3 linked regions of the Saccharomyces cerevisiae S288C genome follow. Each later gene encodes a partner of the first gene's protein in a complex. Each region holds a gene or a part of one and is shown in the gene's direction. Other genes may lie near its edges.

Region 1 (6,067 bases):
AACAAGGCTGGGACTTTACAGAGAAAAATAATTCTATAATTAGGAAGCGACCCAATTCAAAGACTAAAAAGTAATTTGAAATGGGGTAAAATGGAATAGAGAGGTTCTGTGGAATGTCATATTATGTAATGTTGTAAAGTTAATGGTGTATATTTTGAGAAGCTATTGGCAGAAGGATTAGCGTTGCTAAGAAAATGTTGGATCACTATCGCAGAGGGTTTAAAGAGAATGATTGGAAAAAAATATCTAATTCACTGAAGCAGAATGGGAACTACTATTTAAAAACATGACGTATATACTAGTAATCTTTCAGTCGATCTGGTTGGAAGTACTATAGCAGAACGAGGTACAAAAGAGTGCACATTTATCTTTCTGTTTTATCTTTTTTTTTTGTTCTTCGAGATTGTCTAACAAAACAAAATAAAAGTATACGGACTAAAAGTAAATAAAAAAATATCTTTCATAATATAAAGATATGCATATATACAAATAGCGGGGAAGTATTTTAAACTTTATAGGCAAAAATCTCTTTAAAAAGCTTTGCACAATGAACAGACGCACCCATTCTTGCACACAAAAGAAAAATGCCACTAAATTTTCTATGTAACGAGTATGTTTCCTCTGGTGGCGGACATAGTCTTTCATTCAACATTAACCCGATATTACCTCTAATCCTGTCTGAGACTGTTTGATCCTTGAAATCGAAAGATTTATCTACATCACCCCTAAAAGGTTCACCAAGTGTAAGTACACTATCGACGTGCGCGTCTTTCATGGACTGCGATTCTAAGCCTGTGAGATAGCCCAGTTGTACAGACATTTCGTACGCCCCTTTCCTATCTCTCAATGTGGCGTAAGTTAAAAGTTTTCTATATTTTAGAATAAAATCTTCTGCAAAAGGTCTGGAGGCACCGAAATCCAATAATTCAATTTTCTTTGTCCTACCGTTATAGAGGAAATTTGCCCAATTAGGATCCGTTTGCATATACTTGAAAGTGGCAATTTCTTCCAGACATAGTCTCATGATATTCTCCGAAATAAAATTTTTGGTTTCTTGTGATGCCTTGGGCAATTTCATTATTTCAGTTCCCTCCATACGTGTCATAGTTATAATATTATCGGTTGTATATTCAGGAAACACATGAGGAACCTCAAACGCTGGGTCATCCTTTAGCAACGCCTCAAACTTTTGTAGAGCTCTAGCCTCTCTGTTGTAATCACATTCCCATTTTAACTCAGTTCTAGCGTTGGCAATTGTCTTATCCAAAAATAATCCCTTCGGTAATAAACTTGAGGCTGTAAGTAACATTAGTAAACTATTCAAATCCGAATCAATGGATTCTTTAACCCCAGGATATTGAATTTTGACAACCACTCTTTGACCACTGGGCAACTCTGCCGCATGTACCTGTCCGATACTAGCAGCTGCCATAGGTATCTTGTCAAATTTGGAAAACTTTGTCTTCCAATTAGCACCTAATTCCTTGGCCATAACCTTTTCCAATTGCCTTTGAGGCATATGATTTGCACTATTCTGTACCCTTGATAAAATTTCGTATAATTCCTTTGGCAACACTTTCTCATCCTGAAAAGACAATAGTTGCCCTATTTTAAGGGCAACACCTCTCATTTTAGAAAATTTATTGGTAATTCTGTCAATATTCGAATCTGATAGAATCAAAGATTTCCAAGTGGGAGAATTGCCCTTTGCAACTTCCGATATGCCTTTTGCTGCGGCATTCATGCCCACCCCTGCTGCCAGTGAGCCATAATGGAACAATCTCGATATTCGTGAAGTTGGTACACTGGAACTTTTTAATGTATCCTTTTTTTCCTCCTCATGCTTCCTTTCTACGTTTTCTTCACCTTCTTTGGCAGATTTTGTAGTATATTTCTTACTCAACGATATTGAAGAAACAGAAGAAATTCTCCCGTTCTGTATAGTTCTTAAGAGACGGGATGAACAATACAATCTCCTTAAATTCCTCAATTTCACCATATTTGTAACCATATCGAACGATATCTTAGCCGAACAGGTCCCAATAAGGATGCCAAGGAAGCGTACTGAGTACAGTACCAGAAAGATCTTAACTAATTAAGATCATCTAAAAAAGTACTGGGTACTATTACAGATCTAAAGCTTTACAAATGAATATTACCCGGATCATAGTTTGCTGACTGATAGTATATAGTTATGGACAAATTTCATCATTTTCCAAACTAAGGTCGTTTAGTTTTACGCTCTGTATTCGTTTGCTGTTTCAACTGACAGTATCATTTCGGAGTCCCATAAATCTACCAGATTGCTTTTTATTGATCTAGCGATCTTATACACAAGTCCTTTTTTATTTCTTTTTCTTTTTTTTCGGTGCCTCTGAAAAATTTTCAAATGCGAGATGAGGTGAAAAGAAACTTATTCAATTGTAATATTTAACACGTTTACGGGGATGCGATTGAGTAACGATAGTATAACCTTATAAACGCGCATAGAAAGATTAGGACTGCAAGAATAATAATGGGTTCCAAAAGAAGATTCTCGTCCGAACACCCGGATCCAGTTGAGACCTCTATTCCTGAGCAGGCCGCCGAGATTGCGGAAGAATTATCCAAACAGCATCCTCTTCCATCCGAAGAGCCACTTGTCCATCATGATGCTGGTGAATTCAAGGGCTTGCAACGTCACCATACTTCAGCAGAAGAGGCCCAAAAACTTGAAGATGGAAAAATAAATCCATTTACCGGTAGGGAGTTTACACCAAAATATGTTGATATCCTGAAAATTAGAAGAGAATTGCCAGTACATGCCCAGAGAGATGAGTTTTTAAAACTTTATCAAAATAACCAGATTATGGTTTTTGTTGGTGAAACAGGTTCCGGTAAAACGACACAAATTCCTCAATTCGTTTTATTCGATGAGATGCCACACTTAGAGAACACTCAAGTTGCATGTACTCAACCTCGTCGTGTCGCAGCAATGTCTGTTGCACAGAGAGTTGCTGAGGAAATGGATGTCAAGTTGGGCGAAGAAGTTGGTTATTCTATCAGATTCGAAAATAAAACTTCTAATAAAACGATATTGAAGTATATGACTGATGGTATGTTGTTGAGAGAGGCAATGGAAGACCATGACTTGTCGCGTTATTCATGTATCATTCTGGATGAAGCGCACGAACGTACACTAGCTACTGATATTTTGATGGGTCTTTTGAAGCAAGTAGTCAAGAGGAGACCTGATTTGAAGATAATTATTATGTCTGCTACTCTGGATGCAGAGAAGTTCCAACGCTACTTCAACGATGCTCCATTACTTGCCGTTCCGGGCAGAACATATCCAGTTGAGCTATACTATACACCGGAATTTCAAAGGGACTATTTAGATTCTGCCATTCGTACTGTTTTGCAAATTCATGCCACTGAAGAGGCTGGCGATATTTTGTTATTTTTAACTGGTGAAGATGAAATTGAAGACGCTGTCAGAAAGATTTCCTTAGAAGGTGATCAATTGGTTAGAGAAGAGGGATGCGGACCTTTATCCGTATACCCACTGTATGGTTCATTACCACCGCATCAACAACAAAGAATATTCGAGCCTGCTCCAGAGTCACATAATGGTAGACCAGGCAGGAAAGTTGTTATCTCCACGAACATCGCTGAAACTTCTTTAACAATTGATGGTATTGTCTACGTCGTTGACCCAGGATTTTCAAAGCAAAAAGTTTACAATCCAAGAATTAGAGTTGAGTCTTTACTTGTTTCCCCTATCTCCAAGGCTTCTGCCCAACAAAGAGCTGGTCGTGCTGGTCGTACAAGGCCTGGTAAATGTTTCAGATTATACACTGAAGAGGCATTCCAAAAGGAACTGATAGAGCAAAGTTACCCAGAAATTTTACGTTCCAATTTATCCTCCACCGTTCTAGAACTAAAAAAATTAGGTATTGATGACTTGGTCCATTTCGATTTTATGGATCCACCGGCTCCGGAAACAATGATGAGAGCCCTTGAAGAACTAAATTATTTGGCATGTCTGGACGACGAAGGTAACTTAACACCCCTAGGTAGATTGGCATCCCAGTTTCCCTTGGATCCTATGCTAGCGGTGATGTTAATTGGGTCCTTTGAGTTCCAATGTTCTCAAGAAATACTAACTATAGTGGCCATGCTATCGGTTCCAAACGTGTTTATTCGCCCAACAAAGGACAAGAAGCGAGCAGATGATGCCAAGAATATCTTTGCTCATCCAGACGGTGATCATATCACCTTACTAAATGTATATCATGCGTTCAAATCGGATGAAGCTTATGAATATGGTATCCATAAGTGGTGCCGTGACCACTATCTAAATTACAGGTCCCTTTCCGCTGCTGATAATATCCGCTCCCAATTAGAAAGATTAATGAACCGTTACAACCTAGAATTAAACACTACAGACTATGAAAGCCCTAAATACTTTGACAACATCAGAAAGGCTCTTGCGTCTGGGTTTTTCATGCAAGTAGCAAAAAAAAGATCGGGAGCTAAAGGATACATCACAGTTAAAGATAACCAAGATGTTCTGATCCATCCTAGTACGGTTCTTGGCCACGACGCAGAATGGGTCATTTACAATGAATTTGTGCTCACATCGAAGAACTACATAAGAACTGTGACCTCGGTCAGGCCCGAATGGCTGATTGAAATAGCGCCTGCATACTACGACTTAAGCAATTTCCAAAAAGGTGATGTCAAATTATCTTTGGAAAGGATCAAGGAAAAAGTTGATAGATTAAACGAGTTGAAACAAGGTAAAAACAAAAAGAAGAGTAAGCACTCCAAGAAATAGACATTTTGTGTCGAAAAAAAAAAAAAAATAGATTTATATAAATTTATAGGACTATTTCATAGAGAGAAAATTCAACTAGAAATAGGTACACGTAACCTAAAGCTGCTTGTACTAAAATCATAGCGCCCTGTATCAAAAAGAAGCTTTTTTCTTTTGTTGGGTATGTCTATATAGAGCACATCCTATATTCCCTTCGAGGTGTTTTTACAAGAACAAATAAAGAAACAAACCGCGGTGTGAGGAAGTTCCCTTAAAAATGGCAAAGATTACCGTAAAGGTAAATTACTCCTTTAACGATGCTTAAAACGAGCATCTTACTCTTGCAACGAAATTAATCACTCAATTTCAACGAGGATGTTGGCTTCCCATCAAAGTAGTTTTGGGGTAAACCGCATATATCTGTATATTAAGAAAACTTATTTTCCACTATCTAATTTGAACTACAGAGAAGATAAGAAATCTTTTAAGTAGCAATCATGTTTTATCTAAGTGACATCGAGGAAGAAGCCTCGGCTGGGGCTGAACCAACTTATAATTTCTGGGAAGTTTTGTTATTCTCCAATACTCAAGAAAACCTCGTCACCGTTGTCGGAGAGTTGCACACACTTACCGATCGTGTGGTTCATTACAAAATTGAGCCTGAATCAAGGGAAGTTACTGCCACAACACTGCCATCTTTGTTAGCACTTTTGCTAGAAAAAAGGAACCAGGCGAGACGTTTATATAGGGATGTGCTTTCAATGAAAATGTCAGAACTGGACTGGGACATCGACGATTTGTTCACACAGTTACAAGAAGAGCTAACAAGAACTGATGACACTCTTTCTATGTATCCTAGGAGAAGGTTCTATCACTAGCTTGCTCAACGCGACCTTATACACAGAGTTTAATGTGAAGAGAACATTCATATACAATTATATAAACATTGTTGTATTCTCGTACATCGTTACACAAAATACGAAGCGGGGAAATAGTGATATTCGCTTCGCTGGTGGCAAATGGGAAAAATACAAAATTTTACACATCTTTCTTCCAAATACTTCCATAAAACATCTAAATATAGTGGTTTCTAATTATCTCTGATCATAAGGAAGTGGAAGTACATCAGAAATGTCTCAAGAACAGTACACAGAAAACTTGAAGGTTATCGTTGCCGAAAAACTGGCTGGTATACCAAACTTTAACGAAGATATCAAGTATGTTGCGGAGTATATTGTCTTATTGATCGTTAACGGTGGTACTGTTGAA
Region 2 (5,850 bases), on another chromosome or scaffold:
GAATATACGTATCATACTATGAATACTTTTCCAACACTAATGAATAGATCAGAAATTGTAAAGGTTACGAAGAGCAAACTTTCTCCACTTGAAAATGCAATTCGTTCCTTACAAGTTAAAATACAGGAGTTATATGGGCTTGAAAACATGTGCAATAAAACTCTGAAGGACCACGGTGATGTGAACGATTTATTTACCGAGCTTTCTACAAATATTACGGGAACAATATCAGCTCCAGTTAATGGAGGCATATCACAGTACAAGGCCTTTTTAGAACCCTCCACATCCAAGCAGTTCAGTACTGATGATTTAGGAAGATTGACGCTAGCTTTTGATGAGCTTGTTGCAGTATTAGGTCGCTGTCTAACGTTGCATGCAGAACTACTACCATCAAAGGATCTAAAACCATCACATGATCTTCTAGTGCGTCTTTTTGAGGAAAATTTCGCTGAGGAGATAGAAAGATATAGTCGTACTCTCAGTGAGGCCAATCGTAGCAGGAATAACATGATTACTGCTCGAATAATTTCGCACAAGAACCCCAATAAAAAGGCAAGCTTTTCTGGAAGGGATCATCACACCTCAGGGTCCAATCATAGCCAATTTGTATTAGAACATAGCGACTCATTTGGCCCAAACAGTTTACTTTTTGGAAAATATTTAACAAGAACGTTATCCCACTCGTCCACTACGAGCAGTTTGGATAAAAGTGGAATTGTTTCCGGCACTTCGAGCACCTTTTTGGCAGGGTCACAGCCAAACACCAACACAGATTCACAGCACAAGCATGATTACTCACATTCGGGATAATATGTCAGAAGTTGTTCACTATAAAATATACGCATATGTAATCATTTATTTATTCATTCATGACTTTTAGTTGAAAAGGGCACATTTTTCTTTGTCGTAAAAGTGAAGAAGACAGCGAATTTTTTCCTTTCTCCTTCAAGTATTGCTTTTTTGATAAAGTATTTTTCGAAATATTGATACAATTATTGAATCTTTGTACCGTATCCTTTTTTTCCTTTTTTCTAAGGATTCTTCACGTTGTAATTTAAAGTGTACAGGGAAGAAAAATCGTCAATTTTACCGGGCCAGATTGTCTCAGGAAGATAAGTTCCATTTTCCGCTATAAAATTCTGACGTTCTTCCTGGTCCTGAGCATCTAAATTCTGCAACTGCTTTTCACAATCTTTCAATATAGTTTTCATTCTGTTTGCCACATCCTTTCTCCTCTTTGCTTCTAGAACTAAGTTACCGTAGCTTTCTTCAAAATTATCATAAAATTCACAAAGTTCCTTAGTTGTTTGAATATCTTGTGTACAGGAATTTTTGAAGCTATCAATCAGATTGGAAATATCTTTAAAGATTAATAGATATTCCAAATTTCTATTGAAATCGTTTATTATTTCAGAAACTTCGCTGTGTAGTTCTGTCTTTTCCTTTATTTTTGCCTGCAAAAATTGACCCAAGTTAAGAATTGTTTTGTCCACGTCATCAATTACCTCATGCAGAGTTTTGAAAATGTTGTATAGTTCTTTGTCGTCGCCTTGTACCACCTTAAACAGCTCCTCACGTTCATCGTTATCAATTTTTTTATCTTGTAACAGCAATGTCTTATCAAAGTGCTGTGTCAATGAATTCATTATCTCTGCTAAATCTTTTTCAAGGTCCGTTAGTTCCCTGCTAAACTGCTCTGCAACATTTGTTTCCATCAGGTTATCTATACCAAATTTACTTTGGAATTTTTGAGTTACGTCCGTCAACTTGGTATCAATCAGTTCTTTGTTAACTTTTCTGACCATATTTTCGTATTGAAGCTTAATGTTTTCAATTTGACGCTCAATTACTGGCACTTCTTTCAGTTTGTCATTCAATAAGTTAACGTTGTCTCTCGAGATGTAATCTCCTAGTTTAGAGGGATCGGTATCATCTTTTTCTGATATGCTCAATTCATTTACTATACCATCCAACCTTTGTACTTTAGAAGTGATTTCATATTGCCAGTACTTCATCTCATCAACTAAGACCACTAAGACAGCTTGATTCCATTGTTTCTGGATTAGCTTTGTCCCAATGCCTTCCTTTAAAATAGTGTAAAGAAACTTTCCTTGCTGTCTCAAGCCAACTATTAGAAAATTGAGTTTTGAAATACTCAACTGCCAAGATGACAATTTTTTCTTAATATCTACAATCCTTAAATTAGCACTTGAACATAAAAGTTGAGCATCGGTCAGCGTTTTCCTGGCATTATTAACAAATTTTGTAACATCTGCTTCGTTCATAGGTGTTAAATACGTTGATAATATCCTCGCAGTATCGAATTTATCGTACGTTATGCGACTTTCAAATAATTATCAAGTTAGGGATATCTTGCAATTTTTAATACTGAGGCCTTAGAGCGCGCATCTAGTATTTACATTATGTCAAAACAATAACAAAAATCCAAAATTTCGAAATAGTACAACCGAGAGAGGTCGAAGAACTTAAGCCTTCAGTACGCCAAAACATGGAGGATTCGGACTCCAACACAGATAAAAAGTTCTTTTTCAAAAAAAGAAGAATCGATTCCTATAATTATAGCGATGAGGAAGATAATAATTCAAGCATGAATAGTGACATGACATACACTAATGATGCCTTGAAAACTAGTAGCGGCAATGCCCCAACGATCTCAAAATTAACGAAGACATATGGTATTGGTGCGAAGTTACTTTCGAGTATGGGATATGTTGCGGGAAAAGGCCTTGGGAAGGATGGTTCTGGTATAACTACACCAATAGAAACCCAAAGCCGACCTATGCACAATGCAGGTCTAGGAATGTTTTCAAATACCAACTCCAGTAACTATCACAGTGAAAATGAGGATTACTTGAGCTCTGAGGATGAGGTGGTTGAAGGTATAGAACAAGTCAAATTCAATAAAACCTCCACGGAGGTTTTAGGCGAAGCGTTGTTAAATGATAGTGGTGATATGACTATAGTGCGAACACTGAGAGAATTGAGGTTAGCAGGGGTACAATTACCAGAGAGTATCCTAAAAGAATTAGACCCTTTAAATGCAGTACCAAAGCCGAAAAAAGATGTTGTTGTGGAGATATTGCAAGAGCTGCTGGGTATTGAAAAAAGTTTGGAAGCTATTCGTCAGCGCACCTCTCCGTTAGAAGTGCAAGTCAAAGAATATTATGGACAAGAGAGGCTTCTTTCTGAATTGGAGGTTACTTTGAGGGACGAAAGCAAGCATGTTTCCCTGTATGATAAGATTGGTGCTATTTTAAAATTGTCCGACGACGAGCTCATAGATAGGCTAACGTCCTGCTTATTGAGAAAAGAATTACTAATAGAATTTGATTTGGATCATTTAGAAAAGCCAAACGATATACTTGATGAGTTAACGCAAATTATAGAACTACTCGCATATAGAATGGATACAACTTCGAAATTTTTGAACAGGACACAAACAACAATCTTTAAAGTTATATATCCCAAACTCAAAAAATTTTGGGAAGGGTTTGATATGACTAAATCAAAAATCGACAGCGCTATCACCCTATTACTGGATTTCCAACAAGTGCTAAGTTTTATCGGGTGTAAAGAGCATATCATGGAGGAATTCGTCTATCCAAAGCTATTACAGGAATTAGATAATTGGGAACTTCACGATGAAGTAGACCATGTTTCGCCAAGAATATGGGTCTTGGATTTTATGGTTTTAATTGACGATAAGATCAAAGACACAATTGTGGACAAGATTGAAGCAAAATTTTTTGCTTATTGTAAAAATTGGTACCATAGGGAATCATTTTGTATCACTAATTCTGATATTATATTTATCAAAGAACTTATCTGCGAACGAAGATATTACAAAATTTTATGTAAAGAGTTTCTTCCTAAATTCCTGGACGAGCTGTGGGAAAGACATAATGACCCCATCTACGAGTTAGAGGATTGGAAGGAAAAACAGGAATGGAAAGAAAAAGATTCTGGATTTTTCTATTTTATGAAAAAACTGAGAAGTTATACCCATTATTTTCATCCAAAACAGTATGAATTGATGATGCGGGGAACCTTTAATAATATAAACAAAATACTCTATCAATGGCATCTTTATAGTACAGTGGAAGACTTACACAAGTCAAAGTGGTGGCTTAATTGGCTGATGAATACGGTATTTGAGCACTCTTTACCAACAGAAATAGAACTATCGGAGATCAGAAAAAGCTATAATATATTCGCTATGTCTCATAGGTACCACCTTGATAAATCTACATTAGATGAAGATTTCGATTTGAGACAGGGTTTACGAAACTTAATGGAAACACAAGTGATCGACGATATTAGTCAAAGCGAACAAGAACCTACCTATACTGTACAAAATATTCCGCTTGGAAAAGTTAGCAGCTCTTTCAAGGATGTGGTAGAAGACTACTGCCTGGAAAAAGGGTACTTGATCAGCAAAATACCAAATAGGTACACTCAACTGCCATATGGAAGAGACCAAGATTGTATAGTTCCTTTATTTGAGATCCGAAACGGGAAGAAAAAAATGGAAGTTGCTTTGAAACATGATATTCTTTGGGTGGAGGATTCCAGTGGGACCTTTAAGCCAATTTATTTATGGGCCCTTGACCTCTAGAAAGTACCTATAAAAGAGGTGAGATAGGCACGATTTATATATTATTGTCGAAAAACAAAATTGATTAGATTACTAAATAAATAATAATTGCATTACCATTTTTAGACAATGGATTAATTTAAAGTGGAGTCTATTAATTCCCCTTATTTGATAGTTGTTGGTATTTTGCCCTTGAAATGTTTCCAAAATTTATTGTTTAAACTTTTATACTTCGCTAGACTCTCGTAGTTAGACTGTTAAGAGTTGTGGCAGAAGGAAACGAGTTTCGGATGGGATCAAAGGACCTTTTTTATATCAAGATCAAATGGAGCTGTTATTTTCCAAGAAAGACAGAAGAAAGCCCGAATGTGGCTAAGTAGTGAGCCTAATCAAGTAGTCAGCTTCACTTGATATTAGTTTATACGATTACTATTTTAATGGAGTTTTTAGCTCACTAAATAATTTAATGCAAAAAAAATAAACGACCCCAGTGAGGGTTGAACTCACGATCTTGCGATTAACAGTCGCACGCCTTAACCAACTTGGCCATGGAGTCTTTTATTTCCGATATCTGCTGAGTTAAAAATTATATAATATTATTGATAGCTTCTATCATTGACCTTCAATTACTTATGTTGGAATATCAAAAATGTGAGATTTTTTTTTTCAAATAGTTTTGAAGAATCAGCGAATAATTTGATACTTTTTGGGATTCTTGTTAGTAACGGCTATTGTTGGAGTTAAACTTCTTTAAATTTGTAGAGTATGTGGATTTTGATGTAATTGTTGGGATTCCATTGTGATTAAGGCTATAATATTAGGTATGTAGATATACTAGAAGTTCTCCTCGAGGATTTAGGAATCCATAAAAGGGAATCTGCAATTCTACACAATTCTATAAATATTATTATCATCATTTTATATGTTAATATTCATTGATCCTATTACATTATCAATCCTTGCGTTTCAGCTTCCACTAATTTAGATGACTATTTCTCATCATTTGCGTCATCTTCTAACACCGTATATGATAATATACTAGTAACGTAAATACTAGTTAGTAGATGATAGTTGATTTTTATTCCAACATACCACCCATAATGTAATAGATCTAATGAATCCATTTGTTAGTTAATAGTTTAAATGTTTTTATCGGAAGAGGTTTTGTCATCACATCAGCAATGTTCTTCTTGGTCTCGATGTAGTATACGTATAAATTATTACCTGATACTTCA
Region 3 (4,352 bases), on another chromosome or scaffold:
TTAGCTAAAAGTTTTGGGTTACGTGAAAGGCCAAAGGCTATGGGATTGCAAAGTAGTAAGGATGGTAATAGTGAAAAGAAGCCAACTAAGGAAAACTCTAAAAATAAAATGTTTCGTATGGCTCGTATGGCAGAGAAGCAAATAGCAAGTGAGTTTAACTACTAAATAGACAAGAACAAGCATTAATTCATATAAAAAAAAATTGTATACTATGAAGACAAAGAAAATGATAAAATCTACAGAAAATGAATAACGGTTATATCCTCTATCATATATAATATAAACTTTTACCATTCATCAAAGTACAGCAAGAATATTCTGTTCTACTGATGCGTCTGCATTTTGGTCCACTTGTACTCTTGACTTTAAATCATAAGCTTGCATGTCGTGAGCCTTTTCTTCCGTTTTTCTATTCTGTTGTGCAGTATCTGAATTTTTTTTCACATACGTAGGCCTATCGAATTGTTTTTTATCACGTTCGTAATCCCATGCTTTGGACTGTAAATGCAAATTCTCCAAGGATTTCGTTGTATTTATTTCACTTTTCAGAGCGTGTATATGTTTAAGGTCGCTGATATCTTCTTCGTCACTTATATCACTGATGTCATCATCTGAACCTGCAATTACGTTCTCTGTATCCTTAGGGACTTCTGTCATAGTAACTTTACCGTTTGAACCTATATTCATGCTAACAACGTACTTCTCGCGCCTGCCATTCCGTTCCTTTTCTACTTTTTCCCACTTTCTCAAATTACGTTGTTGCTTCTTCAACGCAAGAGCTCTTTCTCTTGCGCTGCCCCATAAACCCACCTCCTGATTCATGTCAAAATCGCTGGCATTATCAATAATTTTTGTTCTTTCTGCCGAAGTGTCTTGGAAATATAAAAGTCTATCTAATCGTTCTTGTGCTGCTAACAACTCCGGGTTTTCCTCAGCTTTATGGTCATGCTCGCTCGCTTGTCTTTCCTTTGCTTCGCTCTCTTCTTTTTCCTCCTGCAATTTCAACACTTCATTACGCTTTCTTTCTCTTTCTCTTTTCCTTTCGATGAAATCAAATAATTTGTCCTGTTCAGCAAATAAATTTTTACCCATACCGGAAGTTATTTTGTAGGTTTTAGTCTTCTTCTTTGGGACATTAGCTCCATTTGACGCATTGGATAAGGACGATGATGAACCGTTTAGTTCGTTTTTTTCCTGATTTAAAATTTCTACCATTTGGGTTCTTTCGTTATCAGAAATCAACTGTTCATGGCAATGACCGCATTTACCTTTATTCAATCCCTCTATAACACAAACCACTTTACCACAGTGAAGACAGTTTGGCGCGATGTCGAAAACTGGATGCCTTGTACCTTGACAATTACAATTTTTAGAAGAACCGCTATCTCGAAGCTCTAGCATCTTGATTGCTTCGTCTATTTCTTGTAACGATTGTAATTTCCCCTTTGATCTGTGCTCTTTTTTCTCCTTTATGGGGTTTGATTGCGTAGATTGATTTGATGGTTGAACGGTAGGCCTCGTTGTCGAGCTTTTCTTCTCATCCTTTAATTTTTTTGGTTTTTCATCTCCCTTCTTATTGATATAGTTATTAGTGGGCTGTTTTGATTCATTTTTCCATGAAGTGGGGGCAGTATGTTCAAGATGCACATTTTTCGTTTTTTTTTCCTCTTTTTTATCATTCTGATTCAATAATTCATTGAACTTCATTACAAATTCAAACGATAGATCTTCATGACCTAGGAACTCCAAAAATTTTGAAGCAATTTGTTCTGGATCATCAGATGATGTACTCAGTACTTGTTCGCACAGCGCTTTTACATCAGACTCTTCCAAAGGCAATATTTGCGGAACTTGTTTGATTGCATAGTCAATAGCCTGCTTTCTTGTCATTATTAATTACTGCAAACCCAAGGTTAAATAATTAAGCCACTGTTTCTCGGACTACGTTCACTTTGCCATTATTTGCTGCTGCCAGGCTCTTTATGCCTCTTTCTTGCTGTATAATATTTCAATATTTGTCCGATACCCGGCAAGCGAAGATCATAAAGAATATCGAAATGAACCTCATAACTGAAAGCAATCATCATAAATTTGTGCTTTGAAGAAGCAATATAACTGGTCGAGTTACGTCAAGTTCTGCCTAGCAATGTTATAGCATTTGAACACATTATGGCGATCAAGAAAAGAAATAAAATTAGGTTACCAAGTGGTTCTCCTGAGGAGGTTGGAATTGATGGTTCTGCGCATAAGCCAATGCAGCAAATTAAGCCCCTAGTGTCGAACGATTCTGAAGATGATGACAACGACATTTGTGTATTACAACCAATAAAGTTTAAAAAAGTTCCTAAGCGCGACATTACCTTTGATGGCGAACAAGCAATAAAGGAGGATAATTCGCATTATGAAGATCTTTACCATTCAAAGAAAAATACCAATGCATCGACGCGAAACAAAGATGATTTGCTAATTCTCAATATGGAGGACTTGATGGAGGGGAATCATCATCTATTAAGTGATTCTTCAGAGGCTGGCAGTAGCTCCGAAGGTGAGCACATTAGTAGTATACCAACCCGAGGAGAAATTGCAAAACTGAAAGCACAGAAGTCATTATCTAGAAGGAAAATTAGTGAGAGTGATGTTACAACAGAAAGAGATTATGTAAAATTGTTGGACAGTGAGGATAAACGCGAAATTATGGAGACAATAAGATTAAATGGTGGTCTGAAACGTAACAATGAAAAGGAGATTACGAACTTCAGTGACGATGAAATGCAAGGCTTTCAAGACGAAATGCTAGCCCTCACGGATAATCAAATTGCTATTCAAAAGGATTCTAAAAGAAAGATTATAGAGAAGGCCATAAATGAAGTGCCCTACAGAACTAATGAAGAATGGGAAACCCAGCTTTTAAGCAAAGGAAATATAAACAAATCGAATGAGAAAATCATCACGCCCTTACCGGTACTTTTCCCAGACGATGATGAAAGTGGGAACAGCATTGAGAGAATAAACGAGATGGTTTCGAAGATCTGCTTGCAAAGGAAGAAGGTTGAGATGAGGTTGCAAGCGTTAGAAAAAACAAAAATTGACTTGGAAAAATCTAAAGCAAGCCTAATAAATAAGCTCATTGGTAACTGAACGTTAATCATGTTATTTTTTTAATCGCTGTACTATTAAAAAGGGATATCTTTACGACAAGTGATATGGATGTATAGATTGATGGTGTATATTTGTATACTATAAAATGTCCAATATATTGTACACTATTGAATCACAGGACACAAAGTAAAATGGTAGCAATTCTGTCGGAGAATGAAAATAATGTACTTATTTTCTCTTTTCGCGAAATGCTTTCTTAAAGTCGTCCAGTACACGGTTTTCACTAGCAACGTTAACCGAGTAGGCTGCTGGGTCAACATGGTTCTTGCTTACCTCCCAATCAAATTTGGAATCTGATGACATTCTTGGATCATAAAATGCTGTAATATCGACTGAAGAATCCACTGTATCTTCTGGATTATCAACTCTGTTATTACTATTGCTGTTTGATTGTATGACGTTATCATTAATTTTAAGTATTGGTAGTTTCTTATTGAAATTTAATGATTGGCTTTTGGGAAAGGCATCTTCGTCACTACTGCCTAGCATCTGGTTTATGTCATTGAAATGCTGATTGTTCTGTCTTATTGTACTAGGTAACACTGATGTTGCGTGTAGACTGGCACGATTTTTTTTTCTCCCATCAAGACTCATGTTTAAAGACTGCAAAATAGGAGTGTGTGAATTAACGTTCTCACTCGGAGCACTGGTTGACAGCTTGAAGTTGAAACCAGATGCTATATCGCCATCATTGTCATCTTCGTCGGATAAGTCATCAATTTGAGACCAACCATTGAATGAGTCCTCCTCAATGCTGGCCAATGTCTCTCTAGATTTGTTTAGTTTTAGTTCAGGAATTTTAGATGAACTTGTATCGTAGTATGGCAATTCAATCCCATCGGCCTTTAATACATCAAAATATGATGGAGGATCCACAGGAATAGCATGAGAATCGGCTGCGCCGCGCTTAGCTAGATCAAAATCAAAATCTGGAGGCGGGGAGTTTGATAATGGTTGGTAATTGAGAATTGGTGAGGTGATGGGCGATAATGGTAACGCCTGAGGAGAAGTTAATTCTCTTGGAATCTGATTGGGCTTATAAATGTTTGCGACCAGCTGTTTGGATGCGAAGACATTGCTACTTTGATCATTCTTCTTGGAGGTATTATCTGACTTGCTTTTCTTTACGCTTTCAGCTCTATTACGCACTACTGGAAGATCAGACGGTATTCTAATGTTCATCTTCTGCACGT

Evidence for each region.
Region 2: PRP43 (region 1) and SPP382 share a complex: the UniProt entries of both Saccharomyces cerevisiae proteins name them as parts of the NTR complex.
Region 3: PRP43 (region 1) and NTR2 share a complex: the UniProt entries of both Saccharomyces cerevisiae proteins name them as parts of the NTR complex.

The regions. Positions count from the first base shown.
Region 1 is NC_001139.9:280,386-286,452, reverse strand, and holds PRP43 (DEAH-box ATP-dependent RNA helicase PRP43), read left to right. Parts: upstream 1-2,515; coding exon 2,516-4,819; downstream 4,820-6,067. Other genes in the region: protein kinase COQ8, read right to left, coding at 506-2,011; GPG1 (Gpg1p), read left to right, coding at 5,296-5,676; mRNA-binding protein NAB2, read left to right, coding at 5,930-6,067. UniProt on the Saccharomyces cerevisiae protein: Pre-mRNA processing factor involved in disassembly of spliceosomes after the release of mature mRNA.
Region 2 is NC_001144.5:970,886-976,735, forward strand, and holds SPP382 (mRNA splicing protein SPP382), read left to right. Parts: upstream 1-2,509; coding exon 2,510-4,636; downstream 4,637-5,850. Other genes in the region: guanine nucleotide exchange factor DCK1, read left to right, coding at 1-810; protein kinase regulatory subunit ATG17, read right to left, coding at 1,032-2,285. UniProt on the Saccharomyces cerevisiae protein: Involved in pre-mRNA splicing and spliceosome disassembly. Promotes release of excised lariat intron from the spliceosome by acting as a receptor for PRP43.
Region 3 is NC_001143.9:480,957-485,308, reverse strand, and holds NTR2 (Ntr2p), read left to right. Parts: upstream 1-2,169; coding exon 2,170-3,138; downstream 3,139-4,352. Other genes in the region: DBP7 (putative ATP-dependent RNA helicase), read left to right, coding at 1-165; RQT4 (Rqt4p), read right to left, coding at 298-1,890; ALY1 (Aly1p), read right to left, coding at 3,328-4,352. UniProt on the Saccharomyces cerevisiae protein: Involved in pre-mRNA splicing and spliceosome disassembly. Promotes release of excised lariat intron from the spliceosome by acting as a receptor for PRP43.